Daphnia pulex: one gene and its partners. The protein of the gene in region 1 binds, or shares a complex with, the protein of each later gene. Links are inferred from orthologs where the notes say so. Each region holds a gene or a part of one and is shown in the gene's direction. Other genes may lie near its edges. The genes, in order: NEDD8-activating enzyme E1 catalytic subunit-like, NEDD8-conjugating enzyme Ubc12 and NEDD8-activating enzyme E1 regulatory subunit-like.

Evidence for each region.
Region 2: the proteins of NEDD8-activating enzyme E1 catalytic subunit-like (region 1) and NEDD8-conjugating enzyme Ubc12 are in contact, whole or in part, in a crystal structure (PDB 2NVU), measured with the Homo sapiens proteins. The link is inferred for Daphnia pulex from reciprocal best matches to the Homo sapiens genes UBA3 and UBE2M. Residues at the interface, in NP_003959.3 of Homo sapiens: His53, Pro54, Asp55, Glu61, Ser62, Phe65, Cys70, Gln149, Asn152, Asp153, Thr154, Arg157, Gln158, Phe159, His160, Ile170, Arg173, Trp174, Ser181, Leu182, Leu183, Asn184, Pro192, Ile195, Val196, Pro197, Leu214, Met217, Arg254, Met255; in NP_003960.1 of Homo sapiens: Lys3, Leu4, Phe5, Ser6, Leu7, Lys8, Gln9, Gln10, Lys11, Lys12, Glu15, Lys21, Gly22, Ser23, Ser24, Lys25, Lys26, Ala27, Gln31, Leu32, Gln35, Lys36, Ile38, Asn39, Glu40, Phe51, Ser52, Asp53, Pro54, Asp55.
Region 3: the proteins of NEDD8-activating enzyme E1 catalytic subunit-like (region 1) and NEDD8-activating enzyme E1 regulatory subunit-like are in contact, whole or in part, in a crystal structure (PDB 3DBR), measured with the Homo sapiens proteins. The link is inferred for Daphnia pulex from reciprocal best matches to the Homo sapiens genes UBA3 and NAE1. Residues at the interface, in NP_003959.3 of Homo sapiens: Trp34, Glu35, Gly36, Arg37, Trp38, Asn39, His40, Lys43, Phe44, Glu46, Arg47, Ser48, Gly49, Pro50, Phe51, Thr52, Phe56, Glu83, Lys86, Asn87, Leu90, Ser91, Val106, Ser107, Leu109, Asn110, Arg111, Phe113, Leu114, Arg116; in NP_003896.1 of Homo sapiens: Glu10, Gln11, Lys12, Tyr13, Asp14, Arg15, Gln16, Leu17, Arg18, Leu19, Trp20, Asp22, Glu44, Lys47, Asn48, Leu51, Pro52, Gly67, Glu68, Ala70, Gly71, Asn72, Asn73, Phe74, Phe75, Gln77, Arg78, Ile81, Phe92, Glu95.

What each region holds. Positions count from the first base shown.
Region 1 is NC_060021.1:4,975,940-4,980,252, forward strand, and holds the start of NEDD8-activating enzyme E1 catalytic subunit-like, read left to right. Parts: upstream 1-1,308; 5' UTR 1,309-1,426; exon of another isoform or gene 1,427-1,521; intron 1,522-1,542; exon of another isoform or gene 1,543-1,671; 5' UTR 1,672-1,684; coding exon 1,685-1,813; intron 1,814-1,916; coding exon 1,917-2,131; intron 2,132-2,305; coding exon 2,306-2,458; intron 2,459-2,690; coding exon 2,691-2,802; intron 2,803-2,981; coding exon 2,982-3,119; intron 3,120-3,264; coding exon 3,265-3,310; intron 3,311-3,577; coding exon 3,578-3,748; intron 3,749-4,053; coding exon 4,054-4,305; intron 4,306-4,313. UniProt on the Homo sapiens protein: Catalytic subunit of the dimeric UBA3-NAE1 E1 enzyme. E1 activates NEDD8 by first adenylating its C-terminal glycine residue with ATP, thereafter linking this residue to the side chain of the catalytic cysteine, yielding a NEDD8-UBA3 thioester and free AMP.
Region 2 is NC_060024.1:11,931,450-11,934,794, reverse strand, and holds NEDD8-conjugating enzyme Ubc12, read left to right. Parts: upstream 1-1,351; 5' UTR 1,352-1,526; coding exon 1,527-1,629; intron 1,630-1,706; coding exon 1,707-1,801; intron 1,802-1,871; coding exon 1,872-2,078; intron 2,079-2,191; coding exon 2,192-2,305; intron 2,306-2,377; coding exon 2,378-2,404; 3' UTR 2,405-2,528; downstream 2,529-3,345. Other genes in the region: ran GTPase-activating protein 1-like, read right to left, coding at 1-142, 207-341, 395-574, 634-821, 890-1,004; importin-7-like, read right to left, coding at 2,967-3,046, 3,121-3,336.
Region 3 is NC_060021.1:5,298,385-5,302,891, forward strand, and holds NEDD8-activating enzyme E1 regulatory subunit-like, read left to right. Parts: upstream 1-1,676; 5' UTR 1,677-1,762; coding exon 1,763-1,833; intron 1,834-1,905; coding exon 1,906-2,070; intron 2,071-2,134; coding exon 2,135-2,317; intron 2,318-2,379; coding exon 2,380-2,726; intron 2,727-2,788; coding exon 2,789-3,083; intron 3,084-3,160; coding exon 3,161-3,366; intron 3,367-3,430; coding exon 3,431-3,567; intron 3,568-3,641; coding exon 3,642-3,765; intron 3,766-3,926; coding exon 3,927-4,039; 3' UTR 4,040-4,169; downstream 4,170-4,507. UniProt on the Homo sapiens protein: Regulatory subunit of the dimeric UBA3-NAE1 E1 enzyme. E1 activates NEDD8 by first adenylating its C-terminal glycine residue with ATP, thereafter linking this residue to the side chain of the catalytic cysteine, yielding a NEDD8-UBA3 thioester and free AMP.

The sequences.
Region 1 (4,313 bases):
TTAGAATTTTTCGATAGACGATAGACGAGCCGATAGATGGGACGGGGGGTAAAAATATAATACGTAAACAAATTTACTTTACGTATGATCATAAAAAATGGAAATGTGCTACCGTGTAAAGATGGAATATTTCCTCGGTGGATTTCTCAGTATCGATGTCTTTATTTTTTGGAGTACCAATGACGCAAGTTGCTTTTAACAATCACACCTTGTTGTCTCATATAGACACAAGATGCAGGTGAAGGTGTCCTTCCTAAAAAGAAAAGGTATGTCAAGTTCAGAAAATGCATGTTGTGTATGATGTTGTTTACACCCCAAAAAATATTTGTGCACAACTAAATGTTATAATGTCTTAAATGTTATACACATCATTTAAGGCTAGTTATCACTTATCACTAAGGTCTTCTACCTTACATTTTCCTCAACAATTTTTGGGTAAAATTTAAAAAAACAAAACATGTAGCCTACTACTTTAGGCTAATTCAAGAAAATGTTTCCAAACATATTTTTTCATTGAATACTGCACAATTATACAAGAAAACATTTGTCAATGACCCTGAGTGTGGTATTGATTTTTCCCTGGTTCAGCGTGGTACAATTTTCTTAGAGAAGCTTACAAAAACTATACCAAACCTGTACATCTGACATGTTAGACTATGTCATATTTTTGGTAAAACAATTTTGTATGCTTATACACAGTATGACAGATGGCACCAAACACTAACTGCTTGTTTAATTTATACTAATACTTTTCCTTCCTTTTTTTTTGCTTGATATTCGATAAAATTCTAAAACTGTTCCTTTCTCCTTTTCACTTTAACAATAAACTAAAAACACAAAAATAGTAACAGGTAATAGGAATAGGATAAAGTAACTAGAAAATTTTAAATTACTTTCTGCTGAGAGTTCGAAAATTTTATTGAATCAAACAAAAATGGCTACCTGGGTGCCGGTGTTGCCATATTGGCTATGTTGGCATTGCCAATTTGCATTGCCAATTTGCCAGATAAAATTCTTAAATTATCAAAAATTATAGATTTTTAAAAACAGATTTTTAGTAAATTACTAAATAATTCAATTATGTTGCGTTTACAAGCATTCAAAAATCTTTTCCATAAATAAGAATAAGTTTACGACTTGTAAACTTTATTATTTTACTTTAATTCTCCTCATCGTTAGTCAAATTTCCTTGGTCAATAATTTTGGTGCTCCTATGGTTGTTTTTTTTTTAATCTTCTTTTAAAAAAAGAATCCTCGGTTATAATTTTATAATTTGAACTTCTCGAAACTCCCGCGCGCGCAGGAGAAAACTGTTGAGAGCGACACTAGGTGATGGCGGAAGAGATTTGCGATTGTTAACCGTCGTCTGCTCGTTCATAATATTCAAAGATACTTTCGAAGGATAATTAGCGAATTAATCGAGCAGGTACAAAGATTCATTTTCGAGTGGAGACATTTCAAGTACGAGTGAAGAAATAGTGGTAAAGTGCTTCCAAGACTTGTAAGATCTCACTGTGATTCGTACTTTCTTACTTTTTCTAGACTTTGTTCTTTCCTTGGAAATTATGTAGTTGAAGGAAGGTTATAGCCTACAAGCTTCAGTAGTCTGCTTAGCCTTTGATATGAAGAATCTATAAATACAATATTTCACATAATTTTATTTCATCCAAGGAAGTAGATCAACATGAGTAGCACTAGCTGGAATGGCAGATGGTTCCACTTGAGAAAAGTCTTGGAGCGAGGTGGACCATTGGCTCATCCAGACTTTCAGGCCTCAAATGAAACACTCGATTTTCTGTTGGAATCTTGCAAGGTCAGTGAGAATAGTGCATCAAATAAAAAAAAAACTAAATTCAAATGTTAGAAAATTATTCGTGACAATTTGTGTCATTTAACTTTTTTTTTTACTTCTTTAGATTCTCGTTGTAGGGGCTGGTGGCTTGGGCTGTGAATTGCTCAAGAATTTAGCTTTAATGGGCTTCCGCAACATCCACGTAATCGATATGGATACTATCGACGTTTCTAATTTGAATCGGCAGTTCCTTTTCCGTCACTCGGATGTTGGCAGACCGAAAGCTGAAGTCGCTGCCAACTTTATCAACGAACGCATCCCACTGGCCAACGTCACTGCGTACGTATCTTTTTTCGAAGAGAGTCGGGGCCAATTAGTTTGCCGGCCAGAAGTCGCCACATTTAATTTGGTTTTTCCTCCGGATTGAAATTATATTCGCTCGATTAACTGCAGTCCTTGCTTGTGATTATGTCATCCTTAACTATGGTTGGCCAAACATTTGTCCGCTTACAGTTACTATGCCAAAATCCAGGACTACGACCAGGACTTCTACTCTGGCTTCCACGTTGTCGTCTGCGGGCTTGACTCGATTATCGCCCGCCGCTGGATCAACGGGATGCTCATCAGCCTGCTCACATACGAGGATGGAGAACTTGACCCTTCTAGGTATTTACTACTAGGCCGTCATGTCTCTGCAAACTGAATGGCCATTCAAGGATTTGATTCGAATTCTCCCCATGAACGCCGGAAGGTTGAACGACTATCGTATCTCATTGGGTGGGTTGTGGGAGGTTGGGCTATAATAGACTTGGTCTTTACTGGGGATATCGTGCCAGATGTATTCTCATGCTGACCATTTCGTTTTGACGGCTTTTCTTCTCTTTTCTTTTTATGCTAGCGTTACGCCGTTGGTGGACGGCGGAACTGAGGGATTCAAAGGCAACGTTCGAGTGATATTGCCAGGAATGAACGCTTGCATCGAGTGCACTTTGGATCTGTTCCCACCTCAAGTATTAAACTCTCCTCCTCCGCTTGATAGCTTTTCTTTTGGACTCATTTCAAAAGTCGTCACTTTTTTTCTTTATTTCATGGCATTTGTTTACGAATCCATTTGATGATTGTCTCTCATTTTCGGTTAGTGATTTCCCTTTTTCTTTTTTTTCTTGTCCCTCACGACAAACGCCCACAGATCAACTTCCCGCTGTGCACCATAGCCCATACACCTCGGTTGCCGGAGCACTGCATCGAATACGCTCGACTTCTCCAGTGGCCTAAAGAGAATCCATTCGGCGAGGAAGTCGCGATCGATGGCGACGATCCAAATCATGTGATTTCATTTCATCGCTAGATCTATTCCCTCCCACCTCTCCTGTCCCGCTTACCCTTTCTTATTCTGTATTCCACTCAACTGACGATTCTTATTCACCGTTTTTTTGTTTTTGCTTTTTCTTTCCCGTGTTCCATGTCGCAAGATTTCCTGGATTTACGAGAAAGCCCTGCAGAGAGCCGGCGAATACGGTATGTAATATAGTCTCTCTCGATAGATCCCCCCTCCCCCAACCACCCCTCTCTTTCGGGTTTGACGACACACAATCGCTCAAGCGTTATATTACTTGAAATGTTATTTTATTTTTTTACAATTTTCATGAGGTTTTGCTTTTATTTTGGCGGCAGAACGAAAAGAAGAAAAAAAAAAAGAAGATTTGGTTTATTTTTCTTTTATTGTGTATGTGTGTAGTGTGTAGTGTTCCTTGATCGATTCTAGACTTTCTCGTTTCCCTTCAGGAATTCTCGGAGTCACGTATCGTTTGGCCCAAGGGGTTGTTAAGCACATCATTCCGGCTGTGGCGTCGACCAATGCCGTCGTGGCGGCGGCCTGTGCCTTGGAAGTCTTCAAGCTGGCCTCCACTTGCGCCCCCAAATTGGACAACTACATGGTTTTCAACGATACCGACGGTTAGCGACATTTTACAAATTCCTTGCATTTTCGCTGCTCTCCTTTCTGCCATTTCTCCACCCTCCATCTCTTTTCAAAGGAGTCGAATGCCGACGTTATTTATAGTCAAGTGTGTGTGTGTGTTGCATCGCAGCGAATCGCAGACGCACTTGGGCACGGGTTTTTTTTTTCCCCCTTTTTCGATTTCCTTTTCTTCGGTATTTTTCGACTTTTCCTTCTTCTTTCTTTTGCGTCAGCTCTTCTCAATCTCTTGTATTTTTATTTTCTCTCCTTCCTTCCTTCCTTTGGCTCGTCACATCCGCAGGGATTTACACCTACACGTACGCAGCGGAAAGGAACGAGAGCTGTGTGGCCTGCTCTCAGATCCCCAAAGATTTGTTCTTCCACGAGAACGCACGACTCAGCGAGGTGATGGAACACCTATCGACGACCTACCAGATGAAGAGCCCTGGCGTGACGACCACCGACAAACAAGGCCGCAACCGCACGCTTTACTTGCCCAACGTTAGCAGCATCGAGGAACGCACAAGACCTAATCTCAAGAAAACACTCAAAGGTACTACT
Region 2 (3,345 bases), on another chromosome or scaffold:
ATCCTCTCCAGGTGAACGTGTTATCATTAAAGTTAAGAATTTTCAGGCCAGGGTTATAAACAAGCGCACTGGCCAATGCGAGAATACCAGGATGTCTTATAAAATTTTGAGGCATCTGGACTTCTTCCAAGGTTCCAACTGCCTAAAAACAAATATGCTGTAATTAAAATAATTAAATAATTACTGAAAATAAAAAAAACAGTGACCTTGAAAAATTCTGACAGAGCAATCGCTCCTTCATTTTCAAGTCGATTTCTTCCAACAATGAAGGTTTTCAGACTCAATGGAGAACCAGCCTCTTTACTGGCTTTAAGACAGTCATTTAAAGCTTGGGCAAGCATCTAAAGTAAAAGGTAGCAGTATTATGATTACAAATAAATGGAATTTTAGTTACCCGTCCACCATAAATTCCAAGGCCATTGTTGTTTAATCTTATACATTTTAGAGAATAGCAGACAGGGCTTTTCAAAAACTGAACAAGACCTTCCATACCAACTGGACCTAATGCATTATCACTCAAATCTAACTCAATTAAGTTAGCTTTAGCCAAAATGAGTCCTCCTCCTAAGAAACTCTATTTAAATAAACGGTGGTTAATACTGTTAATCGTCACATGCACCACAATCAAATTACCAAAGCTTTTGGAATTTCATCTTTCAACCGGCCAGTAAAAGCATCTTTCCACAGTGCTCTCTGGAAGGTTGGTTTGGATTCTAATGCTTTGGCAATAGCCTTGGCGGCTTCAACACCAAGAGTGTTTCCTTCAAGGATGAGACCTGTCAAACCTTTTGCAGCCTGAATTGCATTAACAATAGGTTGGGCTGTTGAAAAATTCCAATAAAAAGAACTTTAATCCCATTTATAAAGCAAACATAAAATCAGAACAAACCGTCGGCTTCCGTATCTAACTTGAGTCCTTTCCCGCTAAAATCTACTATTTCTTCTTTCGCATTCAAATTATTGGCTTCAGAGTCTCCATTAAACTTAGTCACTGCCCCATTCATTTCTTCGAAGTTGTTGGATGATTTTTATCAGGTTCAACCAAGATGACACTCTAAAGTGTAAGTGTAGTATTATTTTCTATTGAGACAAAAATTCACGTGTCTAATTTGAACGCTAACAGTCGGTTTATCGACTCCCTCGTACCCTCGAATTCCCAAGCAGAAATTTCTCTTTGTGCAGCGTTTTCACATTTCAAAAATAGGGTAGGCCTATTGACTTTAGAAAAATGAATTGTTAATTACTATTCATAACTAAATTTACACCTAACAGTATTTAATATTATTTTTAATTTAAAAAAATCAGTTGTATCAATTGGATTTCTGGCAGCATAAAAAAATTTATATGGAATTGTTTTTGACGTTTCTCCAACAGTCTGCTGTTTAGTCCTCTCAATCAGCAAAAATTTCCCATCTGTTCTGTATTGGGCCAAATAAAATCTAGACTGGTTCCTCTGTAAATATAAGAAGGAAACCCCTGTTAAGTTTTCCCAAATTTGTAGATCTCGTATTTGTGGAGCCGACATCATGATTAAGCTTTTTTCTCTTAAACAACAAAAGAAAGATGAAGTTCCAGGTCGGGCAGGAAATCAAAAGAAAGCATCCGCTGCCCAGCTGCGTATCACCAAAGGTCTATTGACTAAAAACAAGTTCTGACCTTGTGACCCGTGTTCCATTTATTTTAATATTTGTTATAATGTCTCGTAGATATTAATGAGTTAAATCTACCCAAGACTTGTCAAATGGAATTTCCTGACCAAGATGACTTGCTGAACTTCAAATTAATCATTTCTCCAGATGAGGTATTACGTATTATGAAATGCAAAATATTTATTTGATTTATAAAACTTTTTTATAATTATTCTGTTACAGGGTTTTTACAGAGGAGGGAAATTTTCTTTTAGTTTCAAAGTTGGTCCTGGTTATCCTCATGAACCACCCAAAGTGAAGTGTGAGACACAGGTGTATCACCCGAACATTGACCTTGAAGGTAATGTGTGTCTTAACATTCTACGAGAAGACTGGAAGCCAGTATTAACAATCAACTCCATAATTTATGGTCTGCAGTACCTTTTCCTGGTGAGCTCTTTTTCTCAGTTCATTGAAATCCATCTTGTTATTAGTAGTCCTAAATTCCCTAGAATTGATGTATGTTGGTTATTTTATTTCACTGTTCTTGTGTGATTTTCAAGGAACCCAATCCAGAAGATCCATTGAATAAAGAAGCTGCAGAAGTACTTCAAACAAACCGGCGATTATTCGAAACAAACGTCCAAAAATCCATGCGAGGGGGATATGTTGGTTCGGTAAGCTAAATTACTTTGAAATCATATTTAAAAATAACACAATCTTGTTTTGAACCTAATTGGGGAAAACAGGTTTATTTCGAACGATGCTTGAAATAACATCCGAATCAGATACAACAAAAAACGAATGGCTCTTTTCAACTTTGATTTCAAACGATTTTTAACATGGAAATTTTCATGTGCAGAAAAAATAAACATCCGCGTGTTTTGCGTTCCATCATTAGTTTTTTATTAAGTTTCATCATTCAGCTGTAATTTTTTCTTGAATATCCATCACCGTTCTTTACTCGATATACGGAACGATACACGGTTCAAGCAGAAGGAGGAAGGGAATGGATGACTAGGCTTTGCTACTGATGAGAATAGAAAGTATCGAACTATTCAGTGTTCCTACTTCCTACAAAGAGCGCATTATCAGCAGTTAGATTAACCTTCCCAAGCAAAGCCTAAATGCACAACACAAAAATTCCCCTCCAAAAAAAAGGCAACCAAAAAAACAAAACAAATGGGCAATTTAACCTAATCAGACAGATTCAATAAGAAAACCAGGCATTGATGAAAAAAGGTCAAAGCACAGCTATCAATAAATGTGATAGTGACGGATGTTATCAAATAGAACCATATTGATAAGGAATTATACGATAACGTTAGTAAGAAACATTCATCTGCTAAATGGTGAAGTAGACCCATTTCCTCCGAAATTAAAAGAATCGGGAACCGTTTGTTGGTTGAAACTGTAGCCTGAAGAATTTAAAAAAAGAGAAAAAAAAAATTGTCTTATGATTATCATTAACACAAATCTAGGAAATTCTTACCTCCAGCCTCTTCAATCCGCTTACTTTCAGCGGCTGCGCGTCGTTGATCAGCAAGAACAATTACGTCGTTTAGGGCTTTTTGCTGATCACCTGTCAGAGCTCCAGTCAAAGCGTTGTACCAACCGGGATTAGTACCTTGAACTTCTTCTAGTACTTGCTTGAAAATGATATATTCATCTATTTCACAATTTTCAACGTCCAACGGAGTAGTGTAACCTAAAAGAA
Region 3 (4,507 bases), about 320 kb from region 1:
TAGGCCTATACACATACACAGTGTGTTCTATTTTCTGATCGATGAAGATTCAAGGTTCACCGTACTCGGTTTCTAATCCTCTTTTGTTGAACCCGATTGTTTGTGTACACATCCGCTTGATTTATTCCTCAACCGTGCGTATGTATTTAGAGGGACCAGGAAGCTCGTTCCGATTTCCCCCAAATCGGTTCTCTCAGTATCTCTCTCTCTCTCTCTCTCGGTACTCTATTATATACTCTTATACACTTCGATCTCATTATTGTATAATCTAGTCCTGTTTAGTCACGTCGAAATCTTATTTAACCGTTCTTGTCTCTAACCAATTGAACAGTTTCAGTTGTTCCCTTGCCTCCCCGCCGCCCACTTTTCTGCGTGTCTAGTCATATTTTTGTAGTAGACTATATCGGTAATGCTGTTTTCATCATCTTTCACCACCCCGTTTGATTTCGTTCGGTTTACAAACTCTCGTTTTTCTCATTAATTATTATGTAATCAAGGCGATTTATTATATTACACACAAGACAAGATCAAAACAATTTGAAAATAGTTTGTTTTCCACGTCCATTCGTCGCACACGGAAATGTGGAAGAAAAAGAGGCGTGACATCACTCCGCCCATTTGACGTCTTGGTTTTGATGGCCCCATGAAACCCGCAAGAATCTCGGGACGGTCGATTATGCACCGGCCGAAAGGGGGGACAGTGGCCGAAGGAGGATCGAATGAAATCGGAGCTGTTACTTTATCCCAGGCCTGTCGTTCTGGACTGTCGGCGGTAACATGATCTGACTCGGTCCATGTCACATATAAACAGTTGTAAAGTTGATGTCCCGTGCAAAGGAACACAAGTCGTTGACGAGAAGTTAACAGTGAGGACTCCCTCAAAGGCACCAGATCTTTATTTTGGGCATTTTTTTTCTTTCTATCTTCCCCTTTTAGATTCATGGCGATTCGGGTTGTTCGTTCCTTCTCGTTGAATTTATATACTACACCGCCCCGCCCTCGTGATCGTCTTCTTCCTCCCCCTTTTGACATCAAAGTCTCTTGTACACCATAGAGGCAGGCACACTCCCCCTCTTCTTTCTCCGCGTGACCCTACCCCGCCTCCCTCTACTCTTCTATCTTTTTTTCTTTCTATTTACAGTCGACTGCCACCGAACGTTAACATATGCCTGCAACTTAATGGCCTGTTAACATTGTGACTGTAGTCATAGGCGTTACACCGCCCTCCATGATGGGCTCAATCTTTTCTAGCTCTTTTTTTTTCCATTGCTATTACGTCTATAAAGAAAATTGTGGAACTTATTTTTAAAATGAAGGGGAAAATGTACCAGTTGGCACCCCGTTTGCGTGTGCCATCGATTGTTCTCGGCTAAAGGCTTCTTTTGCACTTGCAGCGATTTTGGGAAAAAGTACACTCAATACAGAACAAGAATAAGGGATTTTCTGGTGATGTAGCTACGTCTGGGCGCAAGACGTTCAATAATAAAGGCTTGTTGGCTTCTTTCTAAGGAACTCGATCGATACTCTTCAATTGATTAGACCTTTCGGGGGGCTTTACTCTTCTTTTCTTCCACATTTTGAAAGCTTCAGATTTTCCCTCTACTTCATGTTCTATCGATTGTCCAAAAGATGGCGTTACTTTACGGTCGATGTGTAGTGAAGCTAGATGAATGATAGATGGCGTAGCAGTAGCATCAACAAATCTAAAAAGTTTCTTTCGTTTGAGTGAACGAAAAGCCACTCTCGGAAGTTGTACAAAAGCATGGCATCTCCTTCACCAAAATCACCGGGTCAGCTCTCGGATAAAAGCAAAAAATATGATCGCCAGTTGAGGTAAAATACATTATTTAAATTTTTTGAAAACAAAATTTTTTCCTGATTTTTTTTTTTACAAAATTTTCATAGGCTTTGGGGAGATCATGGGCAGGCTGCATTGGAGAGTGCCAGTGTCTGTCTTATTAACGCAACTGCAACGGGAACAGAAATTTTGAAGTCTCTAGTCTTGCCTGGAATCGGTTCTTTCACTATTGTCGACGGTGCGTTGGTTTCTGGGGAGGATGCTGGGAATAAGTAAAAAATTGAATTACAGATATCTCATGTCTGTTGGCAGTAATGTCTTTTTTGTTTCACCCAGTTTCTTCCTTGATCACAACAGAATCGGGAAGCCTCGGGCACATGTGGCAACCCAGTTGCTGATGGAACTAAATGCAGATGTGAAAGGGGACTACATAGAAGAAACATGTGATCAACTTTTGTCAAATAATCCAGATTTTTTTTGTACATTCTCAGTTGTCATAGCCACTGGCCTTACTGAAAAGTAAGTGAATCATGTAATCAGGTTTATGACAAAGCTAAAAGTTTCTTTCTCATGTTTTACAGGTCATTGCATTCTCTGTCAACCAATTTGTGGCAGAACAATGTCCCCCTGGTAGTTTGTGTATCCTATGGATTTATTGGATCTATCCGGCTTCAAGTCAGTGAACATTGCATCATCGAATCACATCCAGATAACTTGCTGGAGGACCTCCGGCTTGATAAACCATTTGATGGATTGAAAGAGTTCATGGAGACCATCAAGCTAGCTGAAATGGATCACAAGCAGTTCAGTCATACACCATATTTAATGCTGTTGTACAAAGCCTTAGAAATATGGAAGGAAAAGCACAATAGTAATATGCCATCCAATTACAAAGAAAAACAAATCCTCAAGGATATCATAAGCAAAGGTTTGATGACTTTTTTGTTTTGTTTCTAAATTGTTCATTAGTTAAATACTAGTCCAATACAGAATTAGGATGCGGTATCGTCAAAGAAGAGGACTCTAACACTGGCGGCGAGGAAAACGTCGCCGAGGCCATTAAAGCGGTTAACACAGCTCTAAATAAGACCCAAATTCCATCCAGTGTACAAAAGATCCTGAATGACGACCAGTGCATTCATCTAAAAGAGAAAAACCCCTTCTGGATTGTGGCACGTGGAGTTAAAGAATTTGTGGAAAAGGAAGGAAACGGAGCACTACCCCTGCGTGGCTCTCTCCCCGACATGACTTCCGATTCTCAACGCTACATCGCTCTCCAGAATGTGTAAGTAGTCAGTTTACAATCAAGATGGAAAATAACTGCTCATGACGTTGGCACTTGGCACTTTACAATGCCCATAGATATCGTGAGCAAGCAGCTAAAGATGCCGAACACGTGTGGCGCCACGTACAACTCATACTGAAGGAGCGAGGCTGGTCTAGTGAATCGGTGATGGAAAATGACGTCAAGTTGTTTTGTAAGCATTCGTCTGAACTACGAATGATACGAGGCACTTCACTGGCGGCCGAATTGGATGGCAAGCAACTCCCGGGAGATGTCGACATCAGTAAGTGATATATCGGATTCCCTTCCTGAATTAAAGAAAAAACTACTTGTTGTCTAACTTCCAGATCAGCAGTTGGAAGAACCAGATAGCCCCTGGCTGCACTACCTTCTTTTAAGAGCTGTTAATAAATTCCACACGGAAAATGGATCACATCCCGGTTACTATGACGACAATGTTGAGACCGATATAGCTAAATTGAAGGTAAAGAAACATGTGATGGACTCGATGACAATAGACAATATTGATCCTAATTTGAAAATCTGTCGCAATGACAGGGTTGCTTCTCTCGTCTTCTTAACGATCTTGGTTGCCAAGGCGGTAGTCTTTCAAAGGATGACAATCTTCACGAGATGTGTCGCTACGGTGCAGCCGAGTTGCACGCCGTTGCAGCATTTATTGGTGAGCAATCCTCCATTCCAATTTCTGTCCATGCGAACAATCGCATTATTTGATGCCCCAGGGGTTTCATGTTTCTGTAACGATAAAAATGTGCTTCACTCGTGTTTTGATTTGGTTTGTTGCATCATTTGCTTTAATAATTTGTTCCTCCGTAAATACAGGTGGATGTGCCGCCCAAGAAGTTATCAAACTCATCACCAAGCAGTACGTCCCGTTGGATAACACTTTTATTTTCAACTCGGTTACGACTACCACGGCAACGCTGCGCTTATAAATATCCAAAAACAGAAAAACCCTTTCCTTCCTCCCACAGAAAAACCGAAATAAAGAAACAAGAAAAGAAAATGTACGATTTTTTCGCTCTCCTCTACAAATTATCAATAAATGGATGTATGATTCTTCAATAACCGAACTTCAATAACCGCCTCTTGCTATTCGTTAGAGAAAAAAGCCCTGTGGTAACGTTGGGGAGGATCGTTAGAGACAGCCGGCCATCCATCCTTCTTCCATCCATCCATCGCCGCCGGGTGGTGCGATGCAATCCTTTTAAGTCAGTCGACGAGCGGAAGACAAGAGAATCCATATTCTGCAATCCTTTCGACCTGATAAACGAGCGGCCGATTCAGTCATTAAGAGATCGAAAAGAGAAAAAAAAAGGGTCGTCGTCGCGAAGATGAAGAAGGAGAAAAAAGAATAAAACGAAGACGCGTGTAGATCAACCCCTGCGTGGGATCCTGTGCGC